Oryctolagus cuniculus: one gene and its partners. The protein of the gene in region 1 binds, or shares a complex with, the protein of each later gene. Links are inferred from orthologs where the notes say so. Each region holds a gene or a part of one and is shown in the gene's direction. Other genes may lie near its edges. The genes, in order: RBM15, CBLL1, METTL3, VIRMA and ZC3H13.

The links.
Region 2: RBM15 (region 1) and CBLL1 share a complex: the UniProt entries of both Homo sapiens proteins name them as parts of the WMM complex. The link is inferred for Oryctolagus cuniculus from reciprocal best matches to the Homo sapiens genes RBM15 and CBLL1.
Region 3: RBM15 (region 1) and METTL3 share a complex: the UniProt entries of both Homo sapiens proteins name them as parts of the WMM complex. The link is inferred for Oryctolagus cuniculus from reciprocal best matches to the Homo sapiens genes RBM15 and METTL3.
Region 4: RBM15 (region 1) and VIRMA share a complex: the UniProt entries of both Homo sapiens proteins name them as parts of the WMM complex. The link is inferred for Oryctolagus cuniculus from reciprocal best matches to the Homo sapiens genes RBM15 and VIRMA.
Region 5: RBM15 (region 1) and ZC3H13 share a complex: the UniProt entries of both Homo sapiens proteins name them as parts of the WMM complex. The link is inferred for Oryctolagus cuniculus from reciprocal best matches to the Homo sapiens genes RBM15 and ZC3H13.

Annotation. Positions count from the first base shown.
Region 1 is NC_091438.1:59,998,469-60,001,981, reverse strand, and holds part of RBM15 (RNA-binding protein 15), read left to right. Parts: coding exon 1-1,014; intron 1,015-3,513. UniProt on the Homo sapiens protein: RNA-binding protein that acts as a key regulator of N6-methyladenosine (m6A) methylation of RNAs, thereby regulating different processes, such as hematopoietic cell homeostasis, alternative splicing of mRNAs and X chromosome inactivation mediated by Xist RNA.
Region 2 is NC_091434.1:136,465,551-136,469,609, reverse strand, and holds the start of CBLL1 (E3 ubiquitin-protein ligase Hakai), read left to right. Parts: upstream 1-1,248; 5' UTR 1,249-1,400; coding exon 1,401-1,551; exon of another isoform or gene 1,552-1,788; intron 1,789-4,059. UniProt on the Homo sapiens protein: E3 ubiquitin-protein ligase that mediates ubiquitination of several tyrosine-phosphorylated Src substrates, including CDH1, CTTN and DOK1. Targets CDH1 for endocytosis and degradation.
Region 3 is NC_091443.1:53,431,516-53,435,782, forward strand, and holds the start of METTL3 (N6-adenosine-methyltransferase catalytic subunit), read left to right. Parts: upstream 1-1,465; 5' UTR 1,466-1,639; coding exon 1,640-1,739; intron 1,740-4,267. UniProt on the Homo sapiens protein: The METTL3-METTL14 heterodimer forms a N6-methyltransferase complex that methylates adenosine residues at the N(6) position of some RNAs and regulates various processes such as the circadian clock, differentiation of embryonic and hematopoietic stem cells, cortical neurogenesis, response to DNA damage, differentiation of T-cells and primary miRNA processing.
Region 4 is NC_091437.1:119,962,006-119,966,126, reverse strand, and holds the start of VIRMA (protein virilizer homolog), read left to right. Parts: upstream 1-1,309; 5' UTR 1,310-1,523; coding exon 1,524-1,586; intron 1,587-4,121. UniProt on the Homo sapiens protein: Associated component of the WMM complex, a complex that mediates N6-methyladenosine (m6A) methylation of RNAs, a modification that plays a role in the efficiency of mRNA splicing and RNA processing.
Region 5 is NC_091440.1:65,049,239-65,052,751, reverse strand, and holds part of ZC3H13 (zinc finger CCCH domain-containing protein 13), read left to right. Parts: intron 1-1,639; coding exon 1,640-1,831; intron 1,832-3,513. UniProt on the Homo sapiens protein: Associated component of the WMM complex, a complex that mediates N6-methyladenosine (m6A) methylation of RNAs, a modification that plays a role in the efficiency of mRNA splicing and RNA processing.

The DNA of each region.
Region 1 (3,513 bases):
GGGATGGCTGGTCCTTGGACCGGGACAGAGGCGATCGAGATCTGCCCAGCAGCAGAGACCAGCCCAGGAAGCGAAGACTACCTGAGGAGGGCGGAGGACGGCATCTGGACAGGTCCCCTGAGAGTGACCGACCACGGAAACGGCACTGTGCTCCTTCTCCTGACCGCAGTCCAGAATTGAGCAGTAGCCGAGACCGTTACAACAGTGACAATGACCGATCTTCCCGTCTCCTTCTCCTGGAAAGGCCCTCTCCAATCAGAGACAGACGGGGCAGTTTGGAGAAGAGCCAGGGTGACAAGCGAGACCGTAAAAACTCTGCATCAGCTGAACGGGATAGGAAGCACCGGACAGCTGCTCCCACCGAGGGAAAAAGCCCTCTGAAAAAGGAAGACCGACCTGATGGGAGCGCACCCAGTACCAGCACTGCTTCATCAAAGCTGAAGTCCCCTTCCCAGAAACAGGATGGGGGGACCGCCCCTGCGGCAGCTGCTTCTCCGAAACTCTGTTTGGCCTGGCAAGGGATGCTTCTACTGAAGAACAGCAACTTTCCTTCCAACATGCATCTGTTGCAGGGTGACCTCCAAGTGGCCAGTAGTCTTCTTGTGGAGGGCTCAACTGGAGGCAAAGTGGCCCAGCTCAAGATCACTCAGCGTCTCCGTTTGGACCAGCCCAAGTTGGATGAAGTAACTCGACGCATCAAAGTGGCAGGGCCCAATGGTTACGCCATTCTTCTGGCTGTGCCTGGAAGTTCTGAAAGCCGGTCCTCCTCTTCCTCAGCCACGACAGACACTGCCACCTCTACTCAGAGGCCACTTAGGAACCTTGTGTCCTATTTAAAGCAAAAGCAGGCAGCTGGGGTGATCAGCCTCCCTGTTGGGGGGAACAAAGACAAAGAAAACACCGGGGTTCTTCATGCCTTCCCACCCTGTGAGTTCTCCCAGCAGTTCCTGGATTCCCCTGCCAAGGCACTGGCCAAATCTGAAGAAGATTACCTGGTCATGATCATTGTCCGTGGTGCGTCCTAAAGTCCATGTGTATCTTGTATTTACTACTTTGACATGGTTCCTGTTTTGTGATGTGTAATGGGATACAGCATCAGATAACTTTTTTTTAATTAGTTGTTTAGTTGTAGCTTTTTCTTTTTTTATATATTTTTTATAAACCTCTTTAAAATAGAAGTCAGGACAGTTTAGTTATTATTTTAAATGAAAGGGACACCACAAAGGTAGCAGGCAGACAGATTGGTTTGCTTTAATTAGGAGTTCCTGCCTTTATAAGTAACTTCTTTCCTTTGTCTTGAGTTTTTTTTTTTTATAACCTTGAACTTAAAATAAAAAAGTCCTCAAAGTTACAAAACCAAAATTTTGAAAAGTTTGGCATTTGGAGAAAAGAATCCACTGACTATTAAGCTGGTAATATCTAAAAACTGCTTGACTGGTATGTAAGTAAATAAGTCCTGTACCAGAAGTAGTTGTGTGACTAAAATTTGATCAGGGAACCCAAAAGTTTATGCTAGTAAATGTGTAGCAATATAATTATTTAAATCAGGTATTTGAGTATTTCTCTTAAAATACAAGTTATTCCCAGAGAATTGCTTTACCATGCATTTTTATCATTAGTTGTTGAGTTCTGTATCCCCTATATGCACTTTTGGTTTGTAGCTGTAACTAACTGTTCAGTAAAAGTTGAGGACTATGTTACAAACCATTGGTGTCTTATGCTTACAATAGTATGCAAGAAGTGAGTAGGTGCTTTTAAAATCAGAGTTCTTTGGTCAGTTATTGGTGTGTGGTTGTGTTTTTACTGACTTTTTCAGAGAGGTATAGCAGGTATAATTCTAATTGTGCATATTTCAAAACTAAGTGTTCTTCATCAAAGATGAGTGTTTTTGTATCCATTCAAATTTCTGGTTTCAGTAATAGAAAGAAGAGTTGTCTGCAGGCTCGTAAGTCATCTTCTGTTTCAGTGGGCATTAATCAGCCATATCTGGATTGCAGAATCTTTTTTTTAAGTCGTGGTCTTTTAAATTTTGCTTGCATTTTTATTTTCATATTTGCCCAGTGATTACATAACATTATTGAAAGTTTTTGGAATTTCATGCTTAAAATTTTCACTGCTGTCCAGCCACAGATTTGAAATGTCAATGTGGGAAAACCCTTTGTTATTGTTTTATTTTCCCAGACACTTGGAATTAATACAGAATTTTTTTTGAGAAAATTTTTTCAAAGCTGATGATGGTATCACCTTCTGGTTCTTAACAAGGGGTTTTGTTGCTTAACAGTAATGATCCCCCCCCCCCCCTTCTACCACAGCCTTTACTTTCTCAGGTCATTAGTAAGTATATTTTTCTCTTTTGATATAAATGTTGAGACCTTTGACTCAGGCCCTTGATATTTAATTATGATTAGAAGCTCTCGGACCTCCTGGATCATGGTCATGTTTCTATTCTGTGAAAGTGACTTATTCAAAGCCTGGCAGAACCCAACTGTTCTTTCTGTTATCAAAGCTGGTAGTTTTGAAATAGCACCAATAATAACCCAGGGAAATGTCATATAATTTTTATTTTCCATTATGACAGGTGTCTAATGCATGTCAGCATGAAAGCCTCATCACTACTGTGTCATTCTTTTTGGTTATCTATGCATTTATGATTTTTTTTAGGTTTTTTTTGTTTGTTTTTAAACTGGAAAAACTAGCCATTTTGAGAGAAGGAAGGTAGGAAGGTACTAGGCTATGAGCACAGAAGTCCTTGATGTGCGCTTTAGGAAAAATGTCTGATATCCTACAAGTAGGTTTTGGTGCTTTTTCTTTCAGAAAGCAGTACTTGGCATGAAGTAGACACCTGTTCAGAAACTAATGCAAGTAGTCTGCATACATGGGATCAAAGTACAATTTGTGGCTAGATACATTTTTCCAGTTTAAATATCTCACTAACCATTAACTTTTGGATATCTTTCCATATGGTAGCAGACAAATGATTTTGCTCTTTCAGAGAGTGAAGTCCATGAAATGTAATATTACTATAGTCCAAAACGTGTGTGGTTTATCTCTTTTTTTTTTTTAAAGTTGGTGTGACAGCTTACTGAAGAGTACTGTGGTTTTTTTCCCCTCATGTTTGTTTAAATTCGTATCTGACATTGCTGCTTTGGTTAGACCTGGGCAATTGTGCTTCAATGTTTTGAAACAATGACTTGATACCATTTCTAAATGTATGTATAAGAAACTAATTATGTTAGTTTGGTGCTTACCTGCAGAGTGCCATCATCCAGATGAATCTTTTATTTGTGTTGCCCATTCTGTTGTGCAGATTTATAATATCTGTAAACTATTTACTTAAACATTCAGAATTTGAATGAAAGCAGTTGTCTAAACATGGTTCTAATCTTCATTAGCCAGAATTTCATAATCTCAACATTGGATGTTCTTTGTAACAACCAATTTTTTCTTTTTAAAATTACATTAATTTTTTTGGGGGGGAGAACTCAATTGAAATGAATGGGAAGGAAATTTCTT
Region 2 (4,059 bases), on another chromosome or scaffold:
ACACCCGGTGCGGGACACCGACCGCCGCTGCGGAACCGGGGCATGGAGTGGGAGGGGTGGGGTGGGGGATTCCAAACCGTTACTCCGCCCGCCGGGGTGGGGCCGGCCCAACGGCCGAGACTGCGCGGTGGGCCCGGCCGACTCCACGTCCCCCGCGCACTACAAGCCCCAGAAGGCCTCGCTGCACGGGGGGGCGGGCCGCCGCCTCACCTGCCGCGAGCTTCCGCCTTCACCTATTACCGTTCCCACTCCCCGCCCCCGAGCCTCGGCCCCGTCGCTGTCCTGTTTCCACACTTAAAGGCCACTTCCTGTAGAGGCACACGCGAGGGGAAGCCTTGGCACCCTCGGCAGCGGAGCTCTCCCCGTACTATGCCCGGCCTCCTCACCGGAGCGCGGTAGAGGGAGGCGAGAGAAGGAAGTCCCTGCAGGCCAGAGCCTGGGCTACCTGCTCGCACTTCCGCCCCGCGGGCCCGGAAGGCAGCGCGCACGCGCTCGCTGCGACTCCGGCGCGGCCGACTTCCGCTCCCACTGTGCCCCGCGAGCCGAATCATGGATCACACTGGTAAGGAGGCGGAGGCAGTGGGGGTCCCTGTTTCATGCCCCCTTGGCCGGCCTGGGACTGGTCGTCCGGCGGGCGAAAGGGATTCCTCTCGCCCCCTAGCAGTGGAGGGTGGCGGTGGGAAACAAACCCCACAGACCCCTTCCCGGGCCCGGCGGGGCCCTGCTGCTCCCCGGCCTACCCTTCCCGTGTGGTACCTACATCCTCGGTACCGGCAGCAGCCTCTTGTTCTGCTGAGCTCCGCGTCGGCACTGCGGGCGGCTCCGGCTTGGTGGGGAGGGAAGCGTGCTGGCTTTTTCCCCCTTCTTTCTCAGGCTTGCTGCTCGGCCCTGCGTTATGGGGCTCGGGCGGCTAGCGCCAGTCCCGGAGTTGGATTCGCCTCATTACGTTGGGACTGGATGGGCGAGGGTGGCTTGGAGACTTCCTGCTGTCTCTGGCAGCTTTGGGCGGGTGCTGCCGCGGCCACCTCCTGCCGGTATTGTCGCTCTGCTCCTTCGTGGACTAGGCGTTACCGAAGGGAGTCGGATGTAGTTTTCGGGATCACAGTCGGAGCCCGTAACATGGCCCGCGCCTGGGCTGTGGCCCTTGCTCAGCATCATTTAGGGGCATTTGCAAAGGAGCTCTTAAAGCCAAGGCGTTCTCATCCCTTTCTCCAAGTAAGAGTGGCTCCACCCTTTGTTTAAGTTTTTTTTTTTTTTTTTTTTTTTTTTGCCTTTGGCTTTCTCTTGGGTTTGGGATGTTGAATGAGTGCACTTGGCGTTAGTAAGTGCTCCGTTGCGGATACCGACGTGATCACAAGTAGCGGGGAAAAGGCATTTTCTTGCCTTAACGCACCGATTGGATGCCCGCAGTCATCAGCCGTCTACTTAAGTGTATAATTGTGTCTCTGTGTGCGCGCGCGCGGTTGTTTATGTATTGTCAGATGCTTAGAGACACCTGCTGGTCTGGAGACGGAGACCCTCTTCTCATGAAGATCTATCCTAGTGGGGAAGGTAGACAAAATAGTTGTTGTTTTAAACAATATTTACACCCTCTTGAGTGCTTTGGAAGTAAATAAGCGGGTGCCGTGGAGCCCGGAGAGGGTCTCTCTGGCGAGGGAGCGTTTACGCTGGGATCTGGTGTGTGAGAAGGATCCAGCCGTGGAGGAAGGAGAGCATTTCCAGCGGGAGGAAAAGCGGAAGGGCCTCCGGGGTTGCCTGGTTAACAAGAGGGGAAAAAGAGCCCCCGAGGTGAGATTGGAAGGGAAGGCAGAGGCTGCGTTGTTCCGGACTTTGAAATCCGTGGGAAAGATCTGATTTTTCGTGTAAGCGGATAGATATAGAGTAGTGTGAGAGAAGGAGGGAGAATAATAGAAGATAGCACGGTTAGAAGGGGACTGCAGCACGCCTGCAGGATTGGGTTAGCGAAACTAAGAGGAACAGGCAGATGGAATGGACATTTTTGTGGTGGAACTTGAACTTGAACGGGTGGATTGATTTTGGAGGTATCTGAGAGAAAGGAGAAGTGCCTCAGCTTCTGGCTGAGTCGCTTGGTAGTGCCTGTTAACAGAGTTGGGGAAAACAACTTTGTTTTTTTAAAAGGAGGGACACGGGAATTTGCGAACAAAAGTTTGATTTTGGTTTGCTAAGTATGAGATGTGTATGAGACACAGGAAGAGGAATGTCAGTAGGTCAGAGGGAAGATTTCCACCGAAAACAGCTATTTGAGGATTAGTACCTTTAACTCCTGAGGTGGATGGATGGGTGAAGTCCCTTGAGAGTGACTATACAGAAGACCAGCCTAGAAGCAGGCTCTCAGGAACTCCAGTGCCTGGAAGTTTTGTAGAGTTGAAACTCAAAAAAGATTTTGATAGTTGAGTATCCAGCATGGAAATTTTGTAAAGTATTTCTCATCTGAGAGTCAAGTCCCTGCCACGGTGCAGTGTATTACTTTAGGAAATTGTAGTATGGGTGGGTGTATTAAATAAGAGGGTATTTGTTCTAGTGTTTGAGCTGCCTGAAGAAGTAGTCATTTTAAAATAATAGCTGAAGAGCTGACCACTAAAAAAGTAATTCCTATTCAGATCTCTCTTCTACTTAACACTATTTATATTTCTTCATGAATAAATGTCATTGATGTTTCATGTCAGAAGATAGTATCAAGTTGATTGAGACAAAATTACCAGCCTTGCAAAAGATGAAACTTCATAAAGCCCCTAAACAAGAATTTGATCACCGTTTGAATCAGAAAAGAAAGCTATTGGCAAAAGAAGTGCCAGTTAATTGAAGACATAGGCATCTCAAAAGGATTGTTTTAATATCAAAGGATTAAGAAGTCCACTGGACAATAGATGTCACCTTGAATATTATACGAAAATGGCCCATTTAATGATCATGCTGAAAAGCTCAAATGTCAAGTTAAAGTGTTCTAATGGAATTTTTCAGGAAAAATTACTCCCAGAGATTCCTAGTTAACAATTGATTCATTCCTTGAACTACATTCCTTGAATTAGCACTTTGTAAAAGTAACAAACTCTGAAATATTCATGGCTCCTTCAAGATAAAGTCCTAAATCTTTTTATGATGTAAAAGTAGTGTTCCTGTTTAAGATGGATTCACCTTGAATGGTCGATTATCCTTAGTTTTCACTTTCTGAGAACTACCCAGACTTTCTGTTGTCATGGGCTTCCTATATTCTGTTACTGTATTCCAAAAGGGAAGTTGTGTGAATGTTCTGATTCTTAAACCAAGAGTGTTGTTGTTCACTACAAAATGCTTTATGAACGTGTACTGTGTGAGGCAAACAGCAAAGTGTTAAAAGCGACAGCAGGCTTTTGAAAGTGGGAGGCAACGTTGGTGTTCAGGGTGGTGGGAAAAAGTAAAAGTAATAGGTGTTGGTATTTTCATCACTCACAAAGGCAAAACCATTAAGAAACTTTTTAGTATCTGATGGGCAGTGTTAAACTGTTATCTGTCTACAGCAACTTTTTTTTTTCTTTCCTGTATTGTATCTTTTTATGTACCTGAAAAAAGGCAACACTTAATGCTTACCATGGAGTTGGTTCCGTGACTGATGCTCCTATTGGTCAAGGAACATGGGAATTTATTTCATGGGTAAAACGCAAGCAGAGACTTCAGGAAGTGACAAGTCATTTAATAAAAAACTGTCACTTGTTTAGACCTAGTTGAAGTCCAGAAAGCTTGCTCCCTCCTAAAATTATAATTTCCCATTCAATACTAAGAGTAACTCAGTCCCATATATATCCCTAGAAATGTTACAGCACAAATACATTTTAACATGTTTGTGTTACTCAGTGCTATAAGAATTTTTGCTGTGTTCTTGAATGCTTTCTACACTTCAGGAAATAATCACCTTCCTTGAAACTAGCTTCCATTTTTAGATTCATTACTTACTTTTGCTTTTGTCGCTGTTAGTTTTGTGTTTCCCTTTTAGTTTTCTAAAGTTCTTGAGTGCTTGCTTTGCATGCTTGAGATCAGTCAGAGAAGCAAGGTGGTTTTGAT
Region 3 (4,267 bases), on another chromosome or scaffold:
CAGCTTCCTGTTAATGCACCTGGGAAGCCACTGGATGATGGCTCAAATACTTAGATTCCTGCCACCCACCTGTGAGACCCAAATGGAGTTAAAGGTTCCCGGAGTCAGCCTTGCCCAGCCCTGGCTGTTGCTGCCATTTGAGGAATGAGGCAGTGGATGGAAGATCTCTCTTTCTCTGTCATTCTGCCTTCCAAATAACTAATAAAATTAAAAAAAAATTTGAAAACAAACTTGTAAAGGTTACTATACAGAGAAGTGCACACCCAAAATGTGTCTTTTTTTTTTTTTTTTTTTTTTTGACAGGCAGAGTGGACAGTGAGAGAGACAGACAGAAAGGGCTTCCTTTGCCGTTGGTTCACCCTCCAATGGCCACCGCGGCTGGCGCACCGCGCTGATCCGATGGCAGGAGCCAGGTACTTATCCTGGTCTCCCATGGGGTGCAGGGCCCAAGCACTGGAGCCATCCTCCACTGCCTTCCTGGGCCACAGCAGAGAGCTAGCCTGGAAGAGGGGCAACCGGGACAGAATCCGGCACCCCGACCGGGACTAGAACCCGGTGTGCCGGAGCCGCAAGCAGAGGATTAGCCTAGTGAGCCCCAGCGCCGGCCCATGTGTGTTTTTTTTTTTTTTTTTAAAGATTTATTTATTTATTTGAAAGAGTTATACAGAGAGAGGAGAGGTAGAGGTCTTCCATCCGCTGGTTCACTCTCCAATTGGCTGCAACACCAGAGCTGCACCGATCCGAAGCCAGGAGCCAGGAGCTTCCTCTGGGTCTCCCACGTGGCTGCAGGGGCCCAAGGACTTGGGCCATCTTCTGCTTTCCCAGGCCATAGCAGGGCTCTGGATTGGAAGTGGAGCATCCAGAACTTGAACCAGCGCCCAGATGGGATGCTGGCACTGCAGGCGGCGGCTTTATCCGCTAAGCCGCAGCGTCGGCCCCCCTAATTTTCACAAGCTGATACACTCATCCAACCAGTTCCACTAAGAAACAGTGCAACCAGAATCTCAAAAATTATCTGGAGTGACCCATTGTGCGGACCCCATTTTAATCAATTATACGTGATACCTGTACATTTGGTTAATAAAAGTGAGACTACGTATTGGAAGACCCCTTATTATACTGCTTTTCTACTAGCCTTCCTCCCTAAGGGAGCTTGCATGCATCCTGAGCCCGCAATTTTATTTTTCAATTGAACGCAGGGAAACAAAAATCTACAGCACCTTTAGTGGAAAACGCCCGTCAGTACCAAACTGTCAAAATGAGCTAGTGACCTTTCGTTTTAAAACTTCGGTCAAGGAGCGCTCTCTTACACCGGGTTCAGGACTCCTCTTAAATATTCAACATGGCCGCATGCGCGTCTGTAAGCAACATGGCCGCTCTGCCAGGCACCAACATGGCCGCCGCAACCTCATCAGGCCCGGAACGAATCCGTCATTCTAGCAACCCCTACGGTGGCTCTCGTTTTCGCTTCCGAGCTAGCGCGCGAGACCGGAAGTGACTTTTCATTCTCGCGCCTCTCCCGGGATCCTTTCCGGGTAGCCTTCCGGTGGCCCCGAGAGAACTGGACACCTGGAGCTAGGCCTGGGAGGTGCTAGTCCGCCGCGCCTGATTCGAGACGCGCCCGCGCGGGGAGAGTAGGATGTCGGACACGTGGAGCTCTATCCAAGCCCACAAGAAGCAGCTGGACTCGCTGCGGGAGAGGCTGCAGCGGAGGCGAAAGCAGGACTCGGGGCATTTGGGTGAGGCGGGGGTCTGTAGGGGCCGAGGCTCAGCCTGGGAGGGCGGGCGGGGTCCTTGGAGAAACCGACACTCCCGAGTCGTGGGCGTTTCCATCTCGCGAAGGCGTCCGCTCCTCAGTAGCAGAGACCTTCGCCCTCCTGTGGGTTAGCTCGCGGCCCTTGCAGCTGCCCCATTGCAGCTGCCTCACACGGCGTTACACCGGAGCCGCATCCGCGACCCCAGGCCCTGCCCTCAGCCGGCGAGAACGTCGCCTTTGTGCGGCCTCTGAGCCCCGGGCCCGCGATCCTCCTGCTCCCTTGCTGCCTTGACGCGTTTTTATACGTAGTTCCAGCGGCTGCTTTCTAGTGGTCCTGTCTTTGCGATTGCGATTGCCCACAGAGATGATTTTAGTGGCCCGCTCGTGTCGCTCAATGAATGGGGAAACGCGTGGACGTAGCCACTCACACATACTTAGCAAGACTTTGAAAACACTTGCTTAGTTTTTAAACTGTCCCTTCTTTCTCCACCACCACCCCAGTTACAGCTATAAAACCTGAAGGAAAAAAAAAAAGTAAAAAAAAAAACAAAAACCTGAAGGAACTTTTTTTTTTTTAAGATTGACAAGTCCTACCCTATCCGTCTGCACAAACCAATTATTGATTTGCCAATTATGTAAGGCAAATCAATTACAGAACTCTGCAAGGATAGTGAATATCACTCTTGTACTAACTTGTGCCAGTGTTTATCAGAGTCATCGGCTTCCATTGTCAATCTTGTCTTGATCTAATTCGGTTCCTGTGCGCATATTCTGGTGCCTGGAACTAGAAGATACACTGGCAGGATTCTCACACCATAGTTAATAACTTACTGAGTATCTGCAGTGTTCGGGAGTCTAGTTAGACACAAATAAGGGAGACATTGTCCCTGCCCCTCAAGGACTGTAGGGTTTAGCTGGGAATCAAGGATAGATGCTTAAAGTCAGAAATAGGGTATATGTAGGATAGCAAGTGATTGAGTCCGTGATTAATACAATGGAGATTAATAATAAAAGCTGGTGTAGTCAGTGAAGTTATCATGGGGGAGTTGGCAGTTAAATTCGGCCTTGATTACTATATAGAACTTAAGTAATTTTGGAGTTAAGAAGGCAGGATAGTGGAGGAAAAAATCTAAGTTATATGATCAGGGAATAAGTGATGGTCAAGCATTGCACAGTTTGAATTACCCAAGAAGGAGAATTTTCTTTTTTTATAAAATTCAAATCTGGCTTTTTGTAGATACAATTTTCTTTGGCTTTGTCTTGCTTCCTATCTGTTGGTTTCCCCTGTTTCTTTTATGCATCTCAATTTTATATAGAAAACATAATCATTCCACCTTCATCATAAACAAGTGACTCCTAGTTTACCATAGACTTCAGTTACTGGAAGTATCTTGTCAGTTATTTCAAAAACAGGATTGGAAGTCTGATTACAGGCATATCATTTATATGTATGTTTTTGAAAAACCTTGTTTTCTGAAAAAGCATGCGTTAAAAATAGCAGCGGGGCAGGCCTTTGGCTCAGTGGTTAAGACACTGCTTGGGCTGCCTGTGCCCCTTACCGGAGTGCCTGATTCGGAATCCTGGCTGGAGTCCCAGCTTCACTCCCATTCCAGCTTCCTACTTATATACACCTTGGGAAGCAGCAGGTGCTAGCTCAGGTGGATGTGTCCCTGTCATCCATGTGGGAGACCCAGATTGAGTTTCTGGCTCCTGGCTTCTGCCTGGTCCAGCCTGGGCTGCTGTAAATATTTTACTCTAGTTATACCACAGGAGTATTCTGGTTCAAATTTATTACACTTGTGGGATTTCTGAATCGTAAGAGATTGTAATAGTCACAGTCTAGCTTGATGTGGGAATTTTGTTTATGGTCTTCCAAGTACGATAAATAGTAATTGTCCCTTATATTTCTTACATATTTTTAGCTGAGGGAGTTACTCTAAAACTCCTCATCCAGACCCCCTTAGTGATTCCATGACCTGTGCATACATCATCTTTTATTTTTTTAAATAAAAAAATTTTTTGAGAAGTAGAGACAGACAGCAAACAGCCACCTGCTGGGGTAATGGCTAGTGCAGGCCAGGCCTAAGACAGGAGCCCAGTCTAAGTCTCCCATATTTGTAGTAGGGAGTAGTATCTGAGCCATCATCTGCTGCCTCCCCGGGCACAGATTAGCAGGTAGCTTGAATTGGGAGCAGAGCCAGGACTTGAACTCAGGCACTCGGACATGGGTTGTGGATGTGCCAACTAGTGTCTTACTTCTCCAAATGCTTGCCCTACCACACCTCTTTGACTAAGCGAAACACACGACTGTTATCAGTTGAGCTGGTGAAAGAGTATCTCCTTAAGATTTAGCAGATCGGGGCTGGCACTGTGGTGGAGTGGGTAAAGCCGCCACCTGCAGTGCCGACATCCTGTATGGGCACTGGGAGTCCCAGCTGCTCCACTTCTGATCCAGCTCTCTGCTATGGCCTGGGAAAGCAGTAGAAGATGGCACCCGCATGGGAGATTCTG
Region 4 (4,121 bases), on another chromosome or scaffold:
TGGGATGCAGGGCCCAAGCACCTGGGCCATCCTCCACTGCACTCCCTGGCCACAGCAGAGGGCTGGCCTGGAAGAGGGGCAACCGGGACAGAATCCGGCGCCCCGACCGGGACTAGAACCCGGTGTGCCGGCGCCGCTAGGCGGAGGATTAGCCTAGTGAGCCGCGGCGCCGGCCACCTCCATACATTTTTAAAATAATTTTATAACATAGGAATGTCCCTAAAAATTTATGATTTTGCATTTTTGAGCTACATTTTATTTTATACTACAATGTTTTTAAGCCTGGGTTTAATCCCTTCTTATGGTTACCCATGGGGCTAGTGTTATGTGCAATGAGTAAAGTCGCTGCCTGAGTTGTCAGCATCCTACGTGGGTGCTGGTTGGAGTCCTGGCTGCTCCACCTCTGATCTAGCTCCTTGCTAATGTGCCTGGGAAAAGCAGCAGAGGATGGCCCATGTGCCTGGGCCCCTGTACCCATGTGGGAGACTTGGAGGAAGCTCCTGGCTCCAGCCCGGCCCAGCACTTGCCATTGCAGACATTTGGAGAGTGAACCAGTGGTTGGAAGATTCTCTCTGTGTCTCTGTAAATCTGCCTTTCAATTAAATAAATCAATCTTAATAAAAAAGATTATCTAAAGTAGTAAATTTTGTGCTAGTTCATTTTTTCTACCTGCTATGTTATTATTACATCCATACAGTACCGTTAACTTGCTACTTCCTATCGGGACCACTAAATTTCCAGTTCTTGCTGCAGCAATAAAGTGTGCAATGAACACTCTTGAATGTTTGCTTCTTTTGGCACGGGTGCAAGAACATTCCTGGAAGAGGGGTGGCACCCGTAATTCACTAGGCATTTCCTCATTGCTGCCCTGGGGGTTTGTGCCAACTTAGACCACCAAGGTGGCTTGCGTCATACACCTCCAGTTGCTTCAAGGACAAGGAGGCTTACTGTTCATTGCGTTTCACTTTTATAATTCCTTGGCTTTTATTTCAATTATTTCTATTTAGCCTTCTTCGCATTGCACAGATGAGAAAATCTCTTCGTTCGCTGAGACAAGGTTCTTCTCTTAGGTGTTTTTTCAACCCGCTCTCTGCATGTTCTGCTCCCAGCGCAGGAATGGTTTTTCATTTGTTCTTGAGGTCGTGCTGGGCTAGGTATCCAGAGTTGGCAGCATTCCCTCCGCCGTCTCCGTCGGCGTCAAAGCCGACTCGGTACTCCGCCACCCGAAGGCCGTCGTGGCTCCGTAACGCGGAGGAACGACACGGTTTGGCCCTCTGGAGACGCCATAGTCCCCTCCTCGCCTCCTTCCGCCCCTCCCCGCGCTCGCAGGGCGCTCTCCGCCGCGCTGGAGTAGGCGGGGCGGGCGACTGCAGGCAGCAACACGCCAAGGGATAGGCCAAGGCTTGGGCCGCTGGCGCGTCGGTCGCCGGAAGCGCTGCCGTTTCTCCCTCTCCCGAGCCGCCGTCGCTGAGGTTGGAGCGCTGCCCCGGAAGTTCTCCCCCCGTCCCCCTCCCGCGTCAAACATGGCGGTGGACTCAGCTATGGAGCTGCTATTTTTAGATACTTTTAAACACCCGAGCGCTGAGGTAAGGCTTGGCTGCCGGATTCTGACGCTGCTCGTCGAGCTGGGCATCGTTACCCCCCAGAATAGTTAGGGGTCCTCGGCTTTCCCCCACGCCGAGTGCCGATTTCATCCCTCGCATACGTACCCCTCCTCCCCCCAACTGGGACAGGAGGGCGGCCTCTGAGGCAAGGCTTCATCCCCTTTTCCCTGGTTGCGCTTGGGCTCCAGTCTTGGGCTGCCCTGGGTGCTTTTTATTTTTATTTTTTCTGTCTTTTGCTGTGAGAGCGATCGTGTTTCTCGGGTTTGCGTCGGGCGGCGTTTGGCGGGGGTGCGGTGAGGGGTCTTGGGCATCTTGTGTTTGAACGCAGTGAGGGGACTCTGAGCAGCTGCTCACGCCTGCTTCGTGGTTCCCGGCGTGTCTAAAGCTTTTCCCCAGAGGTCTCTTTCCTAACGGGAGTTGTGTGACAGTCGTATTCGGTGTAGGGCTGTGGCGTTGTCCAGTTTGTCCTGGAAGTTTAGTGCATTCCACTGGGAAAGATGCCGCACGTTAGGACAGGAGATGCTTCACGCGAAGCCCTGTGCATGGAGGATGCTTGCGAAGAGGGCAGAGTTGAGAGAACTGCAGTGAGGCTCTCGTCCGAAAGCGGGGCTGTTGTCGTTGGGGTGGTTACGGTCGGGGATCGTGGAGTAACCTTTCCGGACCAAATCACTTGAGTGCCCCTACCCATATGATCGGCTCTGCGCTATGTAAATTGAATAAAGCTAAGTAAAGATTCCCGAGGGCCGGTCAAAAATGAACTTCAAAGACGTCCTCAGAGAAGTTGGGGGTGCGGGCGGGACGGACAAAGCCTCACCTCTCCCCATCTTAATGTAAATTTCAACAACTTTGAGGACTCTTCTTTCTTCGGGTTCGTCAAGTTTTTATGAAGAGTGTGTTCTTGAATCAAGCTCCATGAGGATAGTCTGTCTCTTGTTCTCATCAATATCTTCAGTGCCTAGGACAGTATCTGTTTGTTTATTTGAAAGTCAGAGTTATACAGAGAGGACAGGTAGAGAGAGAGAGAGAGAGAGAGAGAGAGAGAAGTCTTCCATCTACTGGTACACTCTCCGATTGGCAGCAAAAACGGCGGAAGCTGTGCCAATCTAAAGCCAGGAGCCAGGAGCTTCTTCTGGGTCTCCCATGCGCAGGGGCGCAAGGACTTGGGCCATCCTCTACTGCTATCCCAGGCCATAGCAGAGAGCTGGGTCAGAAGTGGAGCAGCCGGGACTCCAGTCGGCGCCCATATGGGATGCTGGCATTGAGGGCGGTGGCTTTACCCACTACACCCAGCACCCGGCGCCAAGGCCAGTATCTAGCAAAATGTAGTTGCTCAGTAAACATTTGAAAAAAATGTTTAAAATATTCTTTAATTTATGAAATAGTGATGCTAGTGGACAGTGGTTGTATCTTAATATTTATTTGGCAAAAGAAGACATTGGCAATCTTGATCTTTTAATTTAATGAGTGGCTTACAGGTCTGTAAAAGCCAAAAGCTGGGGTAACGGTGGCTTAGCATATTTTAGTGAAAATGAATTAGCTTATGATCTCACATTTTATGGGGCTGTTTGCTTGCTGAGTGCTATAATTATTACAGCTGGACTTTAGAAAACTCACTGGAGCCAGTGCCATGGCTCACTTGGCTAATCCTCCACCTGTGGCGCTGGCATCCTGGGTTCTAGTCCCGGTTAGGGCGCTGGATTCTGTCCCGGTTGCTCCTCTTCAGTCCAGCTCTCTGCTGTGGCCCGGGAAGGCAGTGGAGGATGGCCCAAGTGCTTGGGCCCTGCACCCGCATGGGAGACCAGGAGGAAGCACCTGGCTCCTGGCGCAGCGCCTGAGGCTGTAGTGGCCGTTTGGGGGTGAAACAATGGAAGGAGGACCTTTCTCTCCCTCTCTCTCTCTCTCTCTCTCTCTCACTGTCTAATTCAGCCTGTCCAAAAAAAAAAAAAAGAAAACTCAGTGCAATCAGTAGTTGAAACTTTGAACACACCTGTTGTACAGAAATAGAGAACAGTTAAAAATGATAGAGGTGTATGATAAATTAATTTAGTACTATTCTAGTTTAGGAAAACTGACATAACTCATTGTATGTTAATCTTCTCTTTCACTCATTCTTAGACAAACATTGATGACCGTGAGAGGATAGGGCAGGTAGTAAATACCTTCTTCTGGGGTTAATTGGGGAAGATTAGTAGAGATCACATTTGAATGGAGTCTTTAAGGAGGAGTAGGATTTTTATGGATGATATAAAATACTGATTTTTTTTAAAGGTAGTTAGTTGTCCTGCCTCTCCTTGAGTTCTGTTTTTTTTTAAAAATTTTTTAAAAAATTTATTTGACAGAGTTACAGACAGTGAGAGAGAGAAACATAGAGAAAGGTCTTCTGTCCATTGGTTCACTCCCCAAATGGCCACTACTGCTGGCGCTGCACTGATCCAAAGCCAGGAGCCAGGTGCTTCTTCCTGTTCTCCCATGCGGGTGCAGAGGCCCAAGGACTTGGGTCATCCTCCACTGCCTTCC
Region 5 (3,513 bases), on another chromosome or scaffold:
TTTATTTTTACCCTTGGAGATGTACCTTCCTATTCTTACTGTAGGTGGGTAGGTTTCTCATGTATTCTTTTTGAGTTTGGAGTGAATTCATCTTCATAAGGATTTATCTATAGTAACTTTAAGGGGTTGAGGACAGAGTTCACCAGAGTTCTTGCCTTTATTTTTGCTGGCTTTCCTAGGTTATGACAGCCCCTGTTTTGCTTCTTTCCCCTTACCCTTACCTCCCATACTCCAGAAATTTAAGAGAACAGTTTTTTTTCCAAGTAATTAAGGATTCATAGGAGATTGGAATGAAATGTACAAGGAAGCTCAGTGTACTGTTCTCTGCTTTCCCAGTGATAACATCTTACACATCTAGAGTATGCCATCAAAACCAAGAAATTAACACTGCTGTACTCTATAGATCTCATTCAGGTTTTACAGTTATATATATTTTTTGTGTGTGCATGTGTATTTAGCTCTAGGCAGTTTTATCACATATGTAGCCTGGTATTAGCCCTACAATCAGATATTTAATTGTAACATCATAAGATTTGCTGGTGTTACTACATCCATCCCCTCTTCTATCACAGACCCCTGGCAATCTCTAATATGTCCTGCATCTTAAGATTATGTTATTTCAGGACTGTTTCCTAAGTGGAATCATACAGCAAGTATACTGCTGAGATGGGCTTTTTCATTCAGCATAATTTTCTTGAAGTTCATCCAAGTTGTTGCATGTATCAGTAGAGTCTTCCTTGTTACTGCTGCATAGGACTCCGTTATATAAATGTATCATGATTTGTTTATTCATTCACCCATTGAAAGATAATTGAATACTTTGCAGTTTTTGGCTAGCAGAAATAAAGCTACCATGAACATTCATTTCTCACATCTTTTTTTTTCTTTCTTTAAGATTTATTTATTTATTTGAAAGAGTTACAGAGATACCTTCCAACTGCTCATTCACTCCCCACATGGCCAGAGTGGACAGGGCTGGACCAGGTCATTGCCAGGAACTTCATCCAGGTCTCCCACATGAGTGACAGGCCCAAACACCTGTGCCATCCTCCTCTGCCCCACAAGCCATCAACAGAGAACTGGATTGCAAGTGAAGCGGCCAGGACACAAACTGGCACCCACATGGGACGCTGGCGTTGCAGGCAGTGACTTTACCCACTATGCCACCACACTGGCCCCAATTTCCCACATCTTTTAATAAAAATGTTTAGATACATTTAATGTTGCCAAATTACTTTCGTCATTCTATATTCGAGTGCTTTCAGTATAAACTGTGATTGAGTCAATACTACATATCCATATTTCTCATTATTTTCATGTGGTTTCTGTGGATGAGATATGAAGAAGCATTTTTAAATTTTTGTTTTGTTGTTCTGGGGGTATTTTAAATGAGTCTTCTTGCTTTCCGATTCCATTATTACTTTTTTTATAGATGGAGAAAACTGGAACTTAGCTTCCTCAAGTCAGTCATAGCAGAGCTGTGTGTTCTCAGCGGTGCTTAATATTCTTTTCAACAGTGATTACCGCACTTGGAATACCAAAGCAAATTAGTGTTTTCTAGGAGGAAAGATTGTGACTGATGAAACTTGTTGAATAAAGTGTTCTGTGTTAAACAACTGTATGAATATCCTTTGTTTAGGAAGCCGAGGCACAAGAGGTTCTCAAATTGATAGTCACAGTAGTAATAGCAACTATCATGACAACTGGGAAACTCGAAGTAGCTATCCTGAAAGAGACAGATACCCTGAAAGAGACAACAGAGATCAAGCAAGGGATTCTTCTTTTGAGAGAAGACATGGAGAGAGAGACCGGCGTGACAACCGAGAAAGAGGTTTGTCAAACAAAATTTTATTAAATAGTACCAACATTAAATTGAGGATTGCTTTTTAAAAGTTACCAATTTGCTTTTTAATATAAAGTATATTTTAAGACTAAGCTTGATGACAATGTTTGATTGAAACTCTTATACTCTTTGTTCATTAGTTTAGGAAGGTTTATGTAAGTAGCTAGCTACCTGTAACTACCAGCAGCAGAGTACAAGAACTGTGCTGTCCTGCTGTGTGTCTGCCATCCTAACTGGGTAGCTCACAACCCTTTCAAGATGCCATCCCAGGCAATTCAGGAAATAATGGAAGCCTTCTCATGAGTATTATCCTGGCTACTCTCTTTTTAGCCATGAACAATAGAGTATTTTATGGGCTACCAGAGAAGAGCAAGGCTAGGGATTGTTCGAGAAACATTTTACTCATATTCTGGCCTGAGAATATATAATTTTGTATTCTTGTATGTGTTAAGCTAAAAGTTTTCTGTTTATCTATTAGATAATCTTATAAAAGTAACTTTTGAAGTAAGATTGCTAGGAAACACTTTATTCTAAGAATTTTCTTTGAAAAGTTTGTATTGTCTGTATTTAAACATTTAAAATCAGTCTTATCAAAGTCTTTCTAACCTTGGCTGATTTCTGAAGTAAGATTCACTATAATACTGAACTTTGAATAGTATGAAACTTGATGGAGCAGGAAATTGAATGTTGATGCTTTTAGTGTGGGCTGAATCAAAAAGATAAAACTATATCTTGATGTGGGTAGTAATAGGAGTAAAACCAAGTTTCTAAGACACCATATATACTTGAGAGAATAGAGAAGATCAGAGATAGGACAGTCGGTTGGGTTAAGTTCATTAAGGTAAGCCAACTGCATTTGGGTTTAAAAAGGTGAGGACTTCCCCAGTTATAAGTAGGGGTAAAGTTTATTCAGTGTTAATATCTGAAATTATTTCTTCCAGCATTTGATTTATCTCTCTTTAATACTGCATCCTGGTAATGCTTTATTTATGTGTATATATATGTGTGTGTGTGTGTTTGTGTGTGTGTGTGTTGTATGTATATTACTTTTCTTCCTTTTTTTCTATTTTCTTATCCTAGAACAGGTTTCTCTGAATTCATGCCTCAATTCGGTAGTAACATTTGGTTTTATTCCTCTATTTAATTCAACCTAGGTGCCGAGAAGTTCAGTAGTTGTTTTACATATATTCTGTGACTTAACTTTTACAATATCCCAATAAGTATAGGTATTATAAAGTAATCCATGTTTCACAGCTTAGACAATTAGATTTAATTGAAGTTAGTTCCAGAACTGGATTCAAACTCAGGTCTTCTGACAACGGATCTAGTTCTCTTTAACTACTTCAGTAAATATCAGTTGAATGATCAAAATATAGCAATATATTTTTGAGGCTAGTGATATATTCTACCCATGCTAGGCACTTTGCTAGGTACTTGGAGTACAACAGTTCTTGTCCATGGGTTTCTATAAAGAAACTGATGGAAAAGGAAACACCTCCTACTTCCCCCCATAAAAAGAGAAATGATTATTGTTATCAAGAAAACAAAGGACCTAGATAGAATAAAGAATAAGAGAGGCATCTACTTGAGCGTTTGAATGGAAAATTTGAAGAGATATTTACACAGAGGTGTAAATGCAAGAGAAGAAGGTAGCTTTACAGAGATTGAGA